3 linked regions of the Arabidopsis thaliana genome follow. The protein of the gene in region 3 interacts with the protein of the main gene of each other region in a pairwise test. Each region holds a gene or a part of one and is shown on either strand. Other genes may lie near its edges.

The links.
Region 1: the proteins of SRO1 (region 3) and DREB2A interact in a two-hybrid assay, tested with the Arabidopsis thaliana proteins (one study listed by BioGRID).
Region 2: the proteins of SRO1 (region 3) and AT5G08720 interact in a two-hybrid assay, tested with the Arabidopsis thaliana proteins (one study listed by BioGRID).

The regions. Positions count from the first base shown.
Region 1 is NC_003076.8:1,600,243-1,604,658, reverse strand, and holds DREB2A (DRE-binding protein 2A), read right to left. Parts: upstream 2,455-4,416; 5' UTR 2,290-2,454; intron 2,033-2,289; 5' UTR 2,010-2,032; coding exon 1,002-2,009; 3' UTR 620-1,001; downstream 1-619. Other genes in the region: AT5G05420 (FKBP-like peptidyl-prolyl cis-trans isomerase family protein), read left to right, coding at 1-9, 89-176, 266-307, 396-444, 541-619; AT5G05400 (LRR and NB-ARC domains-containing disease resistance protein), read left to right, coding at 4,290-4,416. UniProt on the Arabidopsis thaliana protein: Transcriptional activator that binds specifically to the DNA sequence 5'-[AG]CCGAC-3'. Binding to the C-repeat/DRE element mediates high salinity- and dehydration-inducible transcription.
Region 2 is NC_003076.8:2,840,862-2,847,101, forward strand, and holds AT5G08720 (polyketide cyclase/dehydrase/lipid transporter), read right to left. Parts: upstream 4,670-6,240; 5' UTR 4,475-4,669; coding exon 4,080-4,474; intron 3,850-4,079; coding exon 3,729-3,849; intron 3,267-3,728; coding exon 3,181-3,266; intron 3,004-3,180; coding exon 2,622-3,003; intron 2,523-2,621; coding exon 2,422-2,522; intron 2,273-2,421; coding exon 2,206-2,272; intron 1,931-2,205; coding exon 1,703-1,930; intron 1,621-1,702; coding exon 1,174-1,620; intron 1,090-1,173; coding exon 1,017-1,089; intron 935-1,016; coding exon 675-934; 3' UTR 547-674; downstream 1-546. Other genes in the region: ARI16 (IBR domain-containing protein), read right to left, coding at 4,963-5,674, 5,764-6,240.
Region 3 is NC_003071.7:14,916,144-14,922,146, reverse strand, and holds SRO1 (uncharacterized protein), read left to right. Parts: upstream 1-1,664; 5' UTR 1,665-1,973; intron 1,974-2,311; 5' UTR 2,312-2,414; exon of another isoform or gene 2,415-2,554; intron 2,555-2,838; 5' UTR 2,839-2,948; coding exon 2,949-4,054; intron 4,055-4,179; coding exon 4,180-4,424; coding exon of another isoform or gene 4,425-4,453; exon of another isoform or gene 4,454-4,714; coding exon 4,715-4,794; intron 4,795-4,895; coding exon 4,896-5,063; intron 5,064-5,141; coding exon 5,142-5,249; 3' UTR 5,250-5,457; downstream 5,458-6,003. Other genes in the region: DAD2 (Defender against death (DAD family) protein), read right to left, coding at 336-383, 477-560. UniProt on the Arabidopsis thaliana protein: Probable inactive ADP-ribosyltransferase that functions with RCD1 to regulate oxidative stress, hormonal and developmental responses. May regulate some stress-responsive genes. Seems to play a smaller developmental role than R.

The DNA of each region.
Region 1 (4,416 bases), on a different chromosome or scaffold from region 3:
GGCAAAAGGGTATGAGCATTTAGTCCTAAACTGTTGTAGTTTGTGTGCAAATATTTGTTGGAGGTCAGTCTATTGTCTCTGAGTGCAGGTAAGTGTCCATTATACTGGAAAGCTTCAGGGGAATGGGAAGATTTTCGATTCCACCGTTGGAAAATCACGTTATAAGTTTCGTCTAGGTTGGTATTATAACTTGATGCGAAAGTAAGAGCTTTATTAATGTGTGAGTGGTACTTGGATACTTATGTGCTTGCTGTTACACATACAGATGCTGGAAAAGTCATTAAGGGATTGGATGTTGGCCTTAATGGTAACCTAGCTAGTTTCTTACTGGTTTTTCTTCACTAAATATGGTCAAATGGTGTGTTGTTTTGATCTCTTTTTGTAAATTTCTAAAGGAATGCTTGTTGGTGGCAAAAGAAAGCTTACAATTCCTCCAGAAATGGGGTAAAGCCTTTGCAAATCTTTTTTTATTTTTCCATAATGTGATGTTTTATTTTAAGCTTTTTTTAATGAGAGATGATAAAATTGTCTGGCTCACAGGTATGGTGCGGAAGGTGCTGGTAGCATTCCCCCTGACTCTTGGCTGGTCTTTGATGTCGAGCTGCTTAATGTTAAATAAAGCTGCCCTCTAATCCCTAGAGAACTTCCTAAGACTCAATCCAATGATGAGTTTTTTTGTGGAGATCGTATAGTTTTTCCTCTTACGATTTCAAATATTGTGAGACACACTAAGGCCCATAAAGCTTCACAAGTGTGTATTATTCATTCCTGTTGTTACAAAACATAAAACATATCTAAAGAACAACTTAAGAGAAGCAGACTAACAAACTATAGTTGTCTTCTCTATTGTCATATCACTGTTTCGATATATACAGTTCACCTTTATAACAAGAAAAAACGTGTTCTGTAGTTCTCTATATCACTAAAACTCGGATAGAGAATCAACAGTCGTTGTGGGATTAAGGCAAATATCAAATCCAAAAAGCTTCATATTGTTTTGTTTAGTTCTCCAGATCCAAGTAACTCAAGTCGTCGAAGAATCCATTACCATCCTTTCCCTCGAGCTGAAACGGAGGTATTCCGTAGTTGAGGCTTTGTAGCGGATCAAAACCACTTTGTTGACTCTCGGGCCTGTATGAACCGTTGGCAACACTGTTCCCCGGGTACCGGTCCTGATTTAAGCCTGCAAACACATCGTCGCCATTTAGGTCACGTAGAAGCTCATCGACATCAAACATGTCTGAAGAATCCAAGTGACTCTGATCCACATCATTGGGCCAACCATAGTCTGCAACAGATAGCGAATCCTGCTGTTGTTGCTGACAGGTTTCTACAATCCCTTGCTCCTTCTGTTTCTCTTTCTCTTTCAGAATATCACTCCAATAGTTATGTTCAAACTCGCTCAGCCAATGCTTATCCGCTTTAACACCTCTCTTCATCTCTTCCGCACCATTCTCCAGACAATACATCGGCTCCACTCCACCGGAGAAGGGTTTAGATTCACAATCTGGATCCTCTGTTTTCACATGAACACAACCAGGAGTCTCAACAGTACACACCTCAGACTGACTTGAGGTACTCGTAACCTCAGACGCATCAGACCGAGGGAAATTAAGACGAGCCAAAGGACCATACATAGCTTTAGCAGCCTCATCATAAGCAGAAGCAGCTTCTTGAGCAGTAGGGAAAGTACCAAGCCAAAGCCTGCTACCTCGATTAGGCTCTCTGATCTCAGCAACCCATTTACCCCAAATCCTTTGCCTAACTCCTCTGAAACTACATCGGCTATTCTCTGGTCCTCCTTTACCTTTCATACAACCCTTCTTCGACCCTTTCGCAGGTACTTTCCTCTTCTTGGTAGAAACTTCTTCTACGGTCTCGTTATACTCTTTCCATCTCTTTAATCTCTCAGCCACAGTAGTACCGTCACCTCTACTTCTAGATTTCCTTTTCCTCGATGTATCAATTTGTGTTCTGTTTCTATCTCCACTCTGATCATAAACTGCCATCTCCTTCCCAGAAACAACACAATCTACAATACAACAACACTTCAATATCAGAACACAAGCTGAAACATAAGGCAAGAGAACTTAAACTTGGTTCAAAATCAGATCGATTTACTTATTTGTTATCAAATTAGGAACACCTAAAATTTCCCAATTTCACAGCTATACCTAAAAGGAAATAATCGAAAACCTAAAGACGAAGATAAACCCTAGAATCACCAATTGACGAGACCTAATCAGAGAAATTAATTGAAAATTTGTAAGAAATCAGAAATCAACGTACCTATAGGGGACGAAATTTGAAAATCAAAGTCTCTTCCTTCGAGTTGATAAATCGCTTTCGTGTTTAGTCTTCTTGCTCGTATCTTTTCTTCTTCTTCTTGTGTGTAGCTTTTTCGAGTTTTCCTCTTCTTTTTATCAGACAGCTTTAGCAGAAATCAAAATATCTAAGGAAGACAAAGTATCTACGGAGTATTTATAGCCTTCTCTAGATTTTTCTAACATTATTTTATTTTTCTGTTTGAGAGCAAGGTTACGTGTCAGTTTTTGATTCGAACATAAAGGCTTAGACGACTTTTCCGTTCGACGAGTGTCCTCCCGAATCTTCTCGAAACACGCTGTTGATACGGAAAAGTAAAGTTTAAACCTTTTTAAAATTGATTTATGGATAAGATCATAAAACTACTTCATTATTTAAATATTATGAAATTTTAAAATATCTTCATTTTTTTTTTATTAACCCTGACAACACAACACTGTCTCATCTGCTCTTTCTCGATTTTTCTTGGTTTATTGCCAGTTTGCCACTGCATCACACTTACTAGATGTGTAATTGGATGATGATGTTTATTGCCTGTTTTTCTAGTTTTTACAAACGTGCACATTATTCAATTTTGTTTTGATGAGATACTTATCGTTTATATAGATATTTTTAAAAAGATCACGGTTAATATTGTAAAATTAAAGGTTTCCGGTGTACGTACGACATAGAGCGAATTCATAAATGTGTCAGCCAGAAATGTCTTAAACATGAAGTATTAGTTTAAAGTTTAAGCATTAAGTATTAGCTAGAGACGTGTCAAATGGTGAAGCTCAAACTTGGGTGGCTTAGCTTCGAGCAGAGGTGATAGGGTCCATTACCTTATAAAATTTGGGAATCGCAAGTTGTAGCAAAGCAGCAGTCATTTATAGCCTTTGCATGTGCCTCATGTGTCCTTTGCTAACCAAAGCCACTTCATCCACTACGTGTCTCTAACGGCATCGCTAACGTAAGCTCACGCAATTGCCTACGTACTTCAACCTCATGGGCCTTAGTTACTTAACATCCATTATCAAACCCATTGCCTACGTGATACAATCCCATGTGCCTCAGTTAATTAACATCCATTATCAAACCCTTAAAGCCCGTTAATCTAAATTAGCCCATTGGATGGGTGTCGTCCATTTTATTTCTACCGTCGGTGTTGCTACTATCTCGCTATCTCAAGCACGATCGGGTGAGCATCTTCTAGTCTAGTCGATTGAGCCTACAAGTTTCTATCTTCTGGATCTATATGAAATTTCAGTTTGTTTGTTTTTTTTTTCGCTGAAGAGAAATTTCAGTTTTTATTGGTCTAAATAAGGCATGAATTTGGAAATCTGTATCTACGAGTTGGTTTCTTCGCTGTAATGCTTGTTTGTTTTTGGTTTAGTGAACAACATTTGGATGATAAATTATTTGTGCGGAAAAAGCTGCAAGATGATGCCATGATGGCAACACTAATTTTGTTGCTGACTGTAGACTCTCTTTTCTTCGACGACCGTGAGAAGAGCTCTGTAAGTTTGGCTTCTTTCTTTCCATATTAGTATGAATAGGTTATTCGCGTGGCTATGAATCATTCAGCATTGTCTAAGGCCTAGGATCGATAGGGAGGAACGCATTCATTACAATGATTTAGGTTATCGATTACAAAACCATTATTGGAAAACGAGATGTAAGTAAAATGTTGACTTGGCTTGGCCAAACCACGTTAGAATTGTGTTAAGAAAAAACGAGCACATAGTGCTCACTAAACTTGGCTCTGTTAACATCCCAAGGGTCGTTGACCTTATGAAAAAAATGTTATCTTGGTTACAGTTCATTTTTAAAATAACATAAATATTTGATCGAGTCGTAGATGACTGGATGCCAAGATTGGTGGTCAACCCGAATGATCGTGCACACACCTCAGTTAATAAACTAAAACATTAGGAAAGGAATTTGTATATTAATCTCTCTGGTAGGAATTTGAGAATCTATGAGAGATGGGAGCCTGCTTCTCTGTGGCAATATCCTGTGACCAGGCTGTTAATAACCTTACAAGCTGCCTTAGCAGGAACCAAAATCGCTTCCGCAACCTCGTAGATCATGTAGCGGCTCTAAAGAAAACTG
Region 2 (6,240 bases), on a different chromosome or scaffold from region 3:
TTCTCCTGATTAATCTATATCAAAAAGAAAAATGTTGTTTACATGCATGTTTCTCAGCTGTTAGAGGGTCTGTCTAAATCTCGAGGAAGGTCCCAATTATTATAAGTCATAACATATAGAGCTATTGTATAAAGTAGTAAGATTCAAGATTGTCTCATAGTTTGCCTTCAATGTTAAACACCTATCATTTCTAGATTTATGCATGCATTTTATATTTTCTATTGATTTTCCCTTTTAAAATCTCGATTTTTTTTCCTTTTTCACATCACAATTCACATCCAAATATCTTGACCCTTTCTCTTCAGTCACGAGTCAAGACCTCTGAGACTTGGTTCTGTAATAATCTAAAACCTAGAAAGAAGTTTGTTTCTAATTACGTGTAACTTCATTTCACATTGAAGGAAGACAATGATGGGACTTTCGTTTTTTCTTAAAACCATCACTATCAAATTTCATTGACTTACCTTTACTTCTTTGTTCCTTGCTATTATCCTCCTTATTGTTCGGTGCTCTCTCACTCTATTTTATCAAAGTGAAATATAAACACTAAAAACAGATGAAACATTAAAAAGAGATCAGATAATTTCAATCCAATGTTACAATTTACATAAATACATGTTTATCTTTGCGAGTTACAAGACTACACAAATAGTGAAATGTACATAATTAATGCTTCAATATTGAACCCAATTGATATCAAGATCTTTAAGATTGTACAACCATTTCTCGGTATCTTGAGAGACGTAAGGTTTATTATTCTTATTAACCGTTGAATTTAAATCGGCCTCAGTAGATTCAGTTCTCAGTATCGTGTTACCGTTGTCTTTACGAGAATTTAGCTGCCTGTTTGGATGTCTCACGTTCAATGCTAAAAGACGAGATACTTCGTGTAATCCTCCCCATTTCTCGAGCGCCCGAGCAATGTCATAACGACCTGAAACAACAGACCAAATGTTTCTCAGACCAATCCGATTGAGAAGAACACACAGAGCTTAAATTGAGTTTACTGTTTGTACCTGCTCGTTCGAAAGATTTTCTGCTCGGCATAAATGATGGATCCATTCCCCAACTCTGTTGAAATCTTCCTATCTGCAACCACATGCAGAGGGAGAAGCTCTTGTAAACACCATGGCAACAGTGGTTTTAATTTTTGAACATGTCTAGAAACTTTACCTCCTCTTGCAAGTTTTCGAGATTGTCCCAATATCCTTTCGGTTTTCGGTGTTTATAAGCAAGTGAAAGATTCATCATCAAAGCTATTCTCCTAAATCCACCCATTCTTGTAATGGCTTTTTCAATGTCAACTCTTCCATGTAACCGAAGCTGCTTCCTCATGGGCATGAATCCTTCTTGTCCATGTTCTGATATGAACTTGAGAATTTCTGATTTCAAGACTTCAATGTCTCTTTGTAGACCAGGAATCCTCCGTCTCTGCTTAGTTTGGTCTGAACCATCATCATTATTGTAAACTGTCTCAACTGATTTGGCACGAGATGAAGAACATGTTTCCTCTGAAACTTGACATGTCTCCAGTTTACATGACTCTGAAGATTTCTCTCCTCTTTTCTCAATGTAATCCCGGATAGCGCATAAATTTGACGGAAGATCTTCATATATAACCTGAAAAGATTCAGAGAAAACATTGTGGTTCCAATAAGAAAAAAAAAAGATTGCACTGAACTCAGTCAATTGTAAGCCAAACCTCTTCCATGATTGCTTCAGAAAGAAATGAATCTTTTCTCATTTTGGACTCCACGGTATACTTGAGAAGTGTGTGGTGACTTCCTAGTTGTTCAAAAATCCATTTCCCCTCTAGCGAGTCAAAGTCTCCTTCAACCTGTTCAAATCTGATTTCCTGCTCACGAATCTCATGCAAATCGAGAACAGCTCTTGCATGAAGCACCATGTAAAGCAGGCCTTTGCATCCTTCCTGAAAACAGAATTCAGTTTTAGTTATATAATTTCTTGAAATCAAGAAAAGAAACATTGGCTTTGGCCAGTATCAGAATTTTGATCTTCAAGACCAGACTAAATACAGAGCCTTTCTGAATCATGAAAGAGCAAATTATGAGTCATATTTTGGCAACCAAATTCTCTCTTCAGATTTTTCCAGTGTTAGTACCCAATACAAGTACTTGTAGAATGATTCCTTCTAGTCCTTGCCAAATTTGATTACAAGGTAACCGTGGATGAGAATGCTCATACCTGAAGTATTCGGACTTTATTGTTATCGCGTGACAAAATCTTGCTGATTGCCAAATTTGGAACTATCCTGATAGGTTCATGAACAATAAACGCAGAAGAACAAGAGATATATATAAGCCAACACAACAAATATTTGAAGAAGATTGACAAGAAAATCCTCCTTAAGGTCAGAACAGTGAAGCCCGGATATGATAAATATATGTGTTCGGTACTTACTCTGGAAGACTCTCATAAGACGTTAGAACTTTCCAAACTTCACAAACAGGAGCTTTAACTGTTATACTAGCAACGGCGCATCGGTGAACACCTCCATTTTCCTTCATCCAAGAAAAAAACCACTGACTCATAAACACAAAAGATGGGAAAACTTTTTTTTTTCATAGTATATAGAGTAAGTTTTGAGCCAAACTACTTACCAATAGACCATCAAATCTACGAAGATGAACTTCATCCACGGTGCAAGGTTTATCAAGCTTGCAGGCTTTTCCATACACTCCCCAATTGTTGTTCAATTCATTTGAATGAGCTAATGATCCAACACTGGAGGCAACAGATCTCTCCGTAGCAAGACTATCGAACTCAATACCATTAGAAGGGGCTGGCTGTGAAGATATTATACCCAACAAATCTTCTATTATTGACGGCTTTCCGCAATCTTTATAAATTTTCTCAGCTTGGCGAGCTACGGCCCGGAGATTTACAGGAAGATCTGATCTGATTATCCTCTCTAAGAAAATGGCAGGGAAGTTAAATCTTGGGATTACGTTTACTTCGTATGACAAGACAGTTCCTACGGACCTGGAGAAAGAGAAAAACAAATGTTTGGAACATAGATGGTTCCAAAATGATCCGTGGTTAGAAATGCATAACAGACTGTTTACAGAAAGAATTTCTCTGATACACATTTATAGAGGATTTAATTTAAATGATGATAGGATGAGCACACAAACTTCTTACGGGGATTAATGAGTGTACCTGATACCAGATTTCACAGACCACTTTCCCTCAAACTTTTTGAAATCACCATCTACCATAGAGAAGTGAAGCTCACGACCATTTGGCTAATAAGATAATAGGAAAAACTACATTAATAGAGATGTATGGATTGAGAAACAAATGTAATATAAGAACTCAAGAGTAAAGATTAACTAATTAACCAAACAACAAAACTACTTGTTACAAATAACATCTTGTTGTACCCTAAGTAACCAATGCAATGAGTGCAAAGCAGGCTGAAAGAGAACTCATTAGAACCATGGATATTTTCAAGAGTAAACCTCACTATGATTGTTTTTTCTAGAACTAATAAGAGGTTAGGAATAAGGATCTAGAGAAAGTGGGAAGCAGGCAACTCCTTATCAACCATGATTACAGATCATCCAGTGTAAAGGAAACCTCTTGATTCTTAACAAAAGCTAAGATATGCATAAAAAAAGAGACCACAGAATCCGGAAGAGTTTGCAGGTTTTAGACTCAATCCCAATCATTCAGCAAGAGAAAAGTAAAGGCTTAAGAGTGCTCACAGAATCTAGACACTCATGGAGATCAAGGACAACACGAGCCTCAATATGCCAATACAAGGCTCTTTGAAGGCCTCGTTGCTCCAGCCATATACGTCCTGGATGTGGACAAGGAATTCTTCCACTACAAGTTGAAACAATATACCATCAACAAAGAGAGGTAACTAAGCATGGAGATTCAGCATTCTCTTGGAGACGTATAGTCATTGTATTCAGTATAAACAATTTCAATGGCATGAACCAGATAACATAAAAATTGAATCTTTAGAGATTATTCAGAAGAATTCTGTAGATAAACACAAACAAAATGATAAGAATCTGAAAGAAAAAAGTGGGTATTACTGAGGGAAGTACCTCCAAACGAGATTGGGTATGAAATCAGCAAGTCGTTCATAATCAGTAAGAACATTCCAAACAGATTGAGAATCAGAATCGACCCAGATTTCGCCTCTTATCCTCCGTTCTCTCCACGAGATCACATCAACCTCACAACGCACTTTTCTCTCTCCTCTCTCGTCGAAACCTAATCCACTATCTCTCCTCAACCCGTTATCACCTCTACCACCGGCGCCGCTATGTCTCGTTCCATGGCACTTGGCGACCCCGCCGCCGATCCCGGAGGTGGAAATGGACGAGAATACTCGAATCCGAGAGGGAGATGGGAGCAACACACTTAAAAACACTGGTTCATTGAGGAAATTGATAGTGTGAACGCCATGAGAGAGATGTGGAAACTTGCTCACTGACATTAGCGAAAGGTGTTCGACGAAATGTGTCAGTGTAGAGGAAGAAGATACTGTTGCAGAGTGTTACATTACCGTTAAATATTCTCAGCCACCGGATTTTTTCTTATTTTATATATTTGATGTATGGTTGAAATTCACCTTTTGTTCTTCAATAGACATTATATTCGAAACCATGATTTAAACTTTATTGTTCCTCTGAAGTTTTGTATTTGCATTTTCATGTTACAAAAAATATTATAACAAGGAAACACAAACATAAACACCAACAAACAACAACAACAACAACAACAACAACAACAACAACAACAAAGACTTAGAAGACAAATGCAACAAGACTCTTAAACCAATATGATGGATGATGATCCAACACAGAGAGGAGAAAGAGAAACAAAGGAGACTCTTAAACACAAAACAACACAAGAGAAGCTAAAACACCAAACGAAACCAGCATCAATCACTGATGAGACTTATCCTTTACTCATCACTCACTCTCACTCCGATTTTCCAAGGTCTTCAGGAGCTGCTGCCACTTGAGGAGAAGGATGATAGTCCAGGGGGAAAAAGCACATCTTGCACTGTTTATCAACCCAGCTGTTCTCAAACGTGCACCTATCACAGAACCAGCGACTGCCTGGTTCATTCTCGTAACCATCAGCCTTCACTTCAGGCTTACCATCTTCCAGTTCCTTGATGAATCCATCGAAGTGGTTACCAGTGCATGTTGTACTGATTTCCAACTTGTGCTTATAGTTAGTGAAATCTTCAGGTGAGAGGGCTAGATGTATCAACTCATCAAGCTTCCCTTCGTGCATACAAAGCATTGTGCTCGCCAGAGCTCGGAGGTGTTTCAGGTACTGCTTCTTCGTGCTTTCGTACTCGATTATAGAGTAATCAAATACGCAACTCCATTTCAGTACCTGCCTGCACTGAACACTAAGCATCCCTGCTTCTCTTACTGTCCTAATGTCCAGCTCGGTCGCTCCGCAGTTCTCGATCAGTTTCGGAATGATTTTTTCCTCTAAGGCTCTCAGCTTGGACTTAGCCTTCTTCAATGCTTCATGACCTGCCTCCCACAGATTCAGGTGGAGAATCTGTGAGAATTCAACGGTAGAAGGACCCGCAGCTGGAACAGCGACTGGAGAACAATTCCAGTTCCCCTGATGCTGTTCCTCCGTGCGCAAGCAGATCCAACAGAAGTTATTACTGATGATGCATAACAGTCAAGAAAACATAGTAATGAGTTTAAAGATATAATATTTTGCACATGTTTTAAAGCTCAGAAAGAAACAAACCTGCAGATACAATTAATGAGTCTGTAATTAGGATCACCATTCTGCTGCACAGGAATCTTGCACTTGGGACAACTTTTGGTGTTTGTATGGATCCAAGAAATGCTTCTTGACTGATCCAACAGGTACGTCCACCAAATTGATGCCTTTTTGCAAGACACCGGACGGTGTGACTCGAGCCCGCATGTCCAACAGAAGGTATGGCCGCACAAACAGACCACACTGATGACATTATCTTCATTACCATCCTCCTGAAGCTCGACGGCGTATTCACAACCCGAAGCAGGACACCATTTGATCGTTGCCTTGTGGCACTCCATGAAGGATTCGAGAATATAATTCTCGTACATCTCCTTCACTGGCTCTGTGAGTTGCTCGATCGTATCGGGTCCAACAGAGGCGACACAGTCTTGGCTAAGGCAAGAGATGAGTCCTCTCTGCTCCTTGTTCTTCTTCAGAGCATCGCTGAGATATTCACTC
Region 3 (6,003 bases):
TTCTTTAATACACAGAGAATTCAACACTGTTTATCAAGAAATTCTGTAGAATTTAACATGAGTCAAGAATTAAGCAACAAGAGTTTCTTTGATATAGTCCTTCAAAAAAACACAGATCAAACATTTCAACGACAAAGTAATGGATGATGCTATACAAATGAACACAAAAATTGCAAATCAAGTATATCAAATTTGAGTGTCTTTCTATTTGAAAATACACATATCAATACATATGAACATAAAAACTCATACATTTGAAATCCCCATATACATAAACGAAACGAAAAGGCACGGATCGAGAGGCACAGTCGAAGCAATAAAGGAGATTAGAGTACCTGAATCAAAGCTGTGAAGACCGCGAAACAAACATAAAGGTCGATGATCTACAAAAACAGAGTTCAAACAAGAACATTCAGCGGATTTTTCAATTTCAATGATGATTCATAAAAGATCAGAACAAAATGATAATGGTGGACCTTGAGATTCGTTGGTGTAGCGGTATAAGCAGAGTGAAGAGAATGGAAGAGATCCTGAGCATCCTTACTAGTCGATTTCACCATTTCTTCAAAGACTGACCAACACAGGCACAGCAAGCAAACTTTTCTCCTGCTTCTTCTTTTTCTCTTCTTCACGAGTCTGGTGCTCTCGCTGAAATGACGTTGTTTCAGGATTTGCTGATTAAAACGGGCTGTCATTGTTTGGGGCCTTTGGGCCCAAGCCTTTTTAAGTCTGAACTTCGAAACGTCGCCGTTTTGTTATGAGATATTTTCTAAATTATGTTTTCCACAGTTTGTAAATGGACTACCACTCGAGCTTGTTCGAAAAATCTTTAGACGTTACTCGAGGGCTCAATATGAATTTGGCGATTAATTTAAAAATCGGAAATAAATATTTAGGGTTATTATAATGTTTTTAAAACATTTTAATCTAATATTGTTTTGAAAATGGTAGTAAACATAAAAATATATTTTTAAGACAACATTTTATGTTTTTAGTTAAAATTTTGTACATAAGTTGCTATAATTTATCATACTCTTAATGTACATGTTTGAATAAAAAAGAAGTTGTTTTATATTTAAAATCTTAAATAATCAAGATATACAAAATTAGGTACGAAATAATCGGATTAGATGGAAGGTAATTAGATAACTGATTTCTTCAAGAGATTAATCATTCAATAAGGCAGGCAGAGTGGATGTAACAATTAAAAACGGAATAATCGGAGATACACTGAAATTTTTAGAATAAACACAACTTTAACAAATTCAAAGAGAACGTTTGTAATTTCCTTGTACAGCGTAAGGAAAGTTTAGATAAAAGATGTATATAATATAATAATTGAATGCATACGTAAGAGATGAGTTTATTTTCAAATTTAACGTAACCGAACAAAATAAGTTTTCTTCTAAATTCCGTAACATATGTCCTAACCACTCAAACTAAAACAAAAATTAAATTTTTTTCTGGTCTGAAGTATTAAAACCACAATCTTGACAAAATTGAAAATTTATTTTTTATGATAACAATTTTATAAATTTATATTATTGGAGCGATATCTGACAAAACTAGTTTAAAACTGAAAAAATGTCTATGTAACTATAATAGAGTAGTTTACAACACATTTATTTACTTGTTTATACTTGATAGTGAAATTGGCCGTGTTTGACCGGGTCAGAATTGATAGGTGACGGTCCAGTTAGAATTGGGCTTTGACGTAAAAAAAAAAAATGTGTAACTTTGTTCTTTGCCTAAACGATTGGCTTTGTGTCCAAGAGTAGACCGCCGACTTAGATTTTTTCGCCGACGAGAGAATATATATAAATGGCTCGTCTTTTTCCAAACGATTTCTTCTTCTTCGTCGTCGCCGGTTTAGGGTTTCCGTTGCTGTAGCAATTTTCTCTCGCTTCTCTCTCCCCTTTTACAGTTTCTCTTATATTGCTCTTGCCTTGCGTCCAATCTCAAGAGTTCATAAGGTTAGTTTAAATTTGTCTTTATTGATATAATCTATGATTCTGTGAATTGGTGTGTTACATTTAGTCGAAATTGTTGTGAATTGTGTTGTTCTTGAGATGTTTTGGTGTCAATTGATGGTTTATTTGCATAATTTTATTAGGGGTTTCGCTGAAAAGCTGAAAAAGATTGCTATTACATAATTTGTTAAGAGTGAAAATGTCTCGTCTAAGCTTCTGTTGTTATGATTCATGTATTCACCTAAACAGAAGAGAGCTTGTCTCGACAGCTTTGATAGCCTGTTGTTATTTGTTGGTCTGTTTCTGTCTTTGAAGGTTAAATTTTTTGGCTTGTCTTACAGAGTTGACATTTGTGAACATCGAAGAAATACGGTGACGTTTCTTCTCTGATTACTTTTTGCCAACATGAATACTAATGTATTTATCAACAAGTGCTACAGCCTGGTAAGTCTCAAGCTTTCCGATGAGTTTACCGTTCTATCTAGTCCGGATTTGTATCTGCAGTTTTGCTTCTTTGTTCTGTCATGTTTGTTATAAGATCTTGCCTTCTGAGTAGCTGAACCTCTTTTTTCATCCTTGTGTAGGTTAGTTGTCACTTCTTTCCTTTCTTGTAATCTTTCTTATATTGTTTTTCCTATGATTTGTAAAGGGATTTTACTGGTATCGATTCGACAGTGTTGTTTCAATTGAAACATGATGCTTTGTAGGAAAACTCATGAATAACTGTTCATATAGTTGCTTTCTGTTGGTGTTTATAGCAGTGTCTTTTTGTTAAGTAGGTTATTGCATGATGAGAGTCTTTTCATTTTTATTTTATATACAGTCACTGCACTTTTTTCATATCTGATGCACACCTTTCTTCTTGCAGTTTTTTTCGAAGCTGTTGGTGAGTTCCCATCCTTAGTACTGCTAGACAGTTCGGTGTGTTAGTTGACTTTATATTCAAGGTTATAGGTTTAGTGTTGTTAGTAGAGAAAAATGGAAGCCAAAATCGTCAAGGTATCGGATAGTAGTTATAAAGATGGTCTTGGGAAGAAGAGAAAGCATCCAGGGAACTATACTCCTTATGATTCTGGAAGGTCATATGCAAAGCTGCAATGGGTGCTTTCACCCAACAGTTCCACCCAGAAGCTTGAGAAAAGGAGAAATTTGGATGGTGAAAACAAAGTTATTGTTTCTGAGAATCATGTTGAGAAGTCTTTGGTCAGATACTTCTCTTATTATAAGAAGACAGGAGTGCCAAAACGTGTAATGTTCCATGAGAATGGTGAATGGATTGATTTGCCTGATCATATTCTATGCGACATCAGGAATGATCTTGAAGCAAAGAGAGCTACAATTGAGTTCAATTGGTGCGGTCGCCATTTTCTCCTGGATTTCTTGCACATGTATCGACTAGACTTGGAAACAGGTGTAAAAACCCAGCTTGCTTGGATTGATATTGCTGGCAAATGCTTTTTCCCTGAAACTTTTGACACCCTCGAAAGGGACGGCTGCCATCATATCCGTGGGGAAGATCCGGAACAACATGATCAACGTGAGATCAAGCTGCACATTGAAATTGATGTAAATAGTGGGGAGTTACCGAGGCTGAATTTGAATGTGGTCACTGACGAGTCTGGTGACAATATGGATGATTTTCAAGCTGTTCAGAGATCCTCAAATGGGCCAAATGACGAGGCATCAGAGGATAGCTGCAGCCGTGAGCTTGATGATGCTGTTGAGAAATGGGACAAAACAGAAACTGATCGGTTCTCTGGTGTCAAGCCTGCTGAGGAGGAGCTTGATAAAGATGCTGTCAAACAAATGTTTGCTTTGGGTGCTGCCACTCTAGGGCATGTAGAGTCGCTTGATGTGTATCAGTTTTCAAGCGAGATTGCAAAGGCTCGTCTATCTCTTTTCCAGAAGCAAGCTGACATCACTAAGAAACACCGAGGAGATGCAAACATTAGATATGCATGGGTTCCTGCGAAGAAGGAAGTGTTATCTGCCGTGATGATGCATGGACTTGGAGTGGGTGGAGCATTCATTAAAAAGTCTATGTATGGTGTTGGGGTTCACGCTGCAAACTGCCCTTATTTCAGGTTTTTATTCGCCCTCTATGCCAGTTCCTCTCTCATTTAGCCTGCCTTATGCTATTTTTGTTTCACTTTATAGTTCATTTGTTTTATGGTTTTATCTAAGCACATGTGAAAGATATTGTTTACAGTGCTAGATACTGTGATATTGACGATAATGGTGTGCGGCACATGGTTTTGTGCCGCGTAATAATGGGGAATATGGAGCCTCTTCGTGGTGATAACACGCAGTACTTTACTGGTGGAGAAGAGTATGATAATGGGGTTGATGATGTTGAGAGTCCAAAGCATTACCTTATCTGGAACATGAATATGAACACTCACATTTACCCAGAATTTGTAGTTAGCTTCAAGCTGTCTATCCCCAATGCTGAAGGTGATTACCATTTGTTATTTCTCCTGTAATTTCCATAAAAATCAACTGATGACGCATTGAATGGGAGACAGCATATAGATCTTACTGAAGATCAGCTATTTGGATCCTGAAATCTTCCTCTATAAGTTAGAAAAGGATCCACATCACCTTGTGACCTCTGGGGGTGGTAAACATACTTCATCATCCCAAGGGTCCAGTGAGATATCCATGGCTAATATATATGGGTATTTCGATGATCACATTTGTTTTCTGTAGTATTCGAAACGGGATGACATGTTTTGTTTGTGCAGGGAATATTCTTCCTACTACTCAGAGTAGGCACGAGAGTTCGGGACTCACCTTGGAAGGACCCAAAGGTTCTCCCTCAAATGTAAGTTGAATTGTACCTGATCAGATTCTCATTTTCAAGCAGTCATTGTTAATATTTGATATGGACACAAACGAGTAATGTTGCTTGTTTGTATGAAGCAGGAGCCAGGAAGGGTATCAAATGGAGGTTCAGGGAGCGAAAAGAATAGCTCCAGCAGTAGAAGGCCCAGATCTCCTATAATGCCTTTCCCTCTGCTGTTCAAAGCAATCTCGAGCAAAATTGCTCGTAAAGACATGGATTTGATAATTGCTGGTTACCAGGAACTCAGGGTAAATAATATAAACCATGTCTTTTACCAATAGTCAAGGTTATCATATTGTATTAACATAATCGGTGTGCTCTTGCAGGAGAAGAAGGTGTCGAGAAAGGAATTTTATAAGACGCTGAGTATGATTGTAGGAGATGATGATCTGCTGATATCTACAATAACAGGCCTTCAAAGGAGTTTGGGTTAGATTAATGTGTCGACTTCTCTTTGCTGTCGTGAAACCTTAATAGTTTGGATTACGACAAACGTGACTTGATCTTTAGAAACTTAGTAGTAGTACTGTTATATTTACTCTTTTGGTGAAACTAGTCTCCATTATCCTGTTTTTCTTTACTTGGAATCAAAGAGTCTTTTATTGATCAACAGCCTTGGTTCTTTGTGAGGTTTAATTCATCAGCTGGAAGTTATTCAACAGCCTTAGTTTTAAAAAGCGCGCTAATGGCGTGCCATGGCGCATAGCGCACCGATGCTCTAAGAATAGGGCAACAAGACGTGGAGGCGAGGCGACATCTATAATGCGCACGCCATACGTGAGCCTTGGCCGATGCACAAGGTGGCAAAGCGATCGCCTCTTGTGTTCAGGCGAAAACTCTTCGAAACCAACAACAGAATTCTGTGATTTTAGGGTTTGCACGAAGAAATGACTAGGAGGAATAGGATAAACCATTTTCTAAACCTAGCTGGTTAATACATGATTCAATTTAGCTGGTCAATACCTAATCCACGACTAGAAAGTTTAACCATGAGTTATAATTAGCTTATCAAACCAAATCAATCCTAGGTTTATCTTAAACTAAAACGGATTTGACCCTTACCTCTTAACCCACGACATTTTAACCAGTTAGAAGATGTAAAATCCCTAATTTTTCTAAATAGAACACCATAGACGATATAAGCTTGAAGGCTAAAACCATATGCAGAGAATCTGTTAATAGAACACC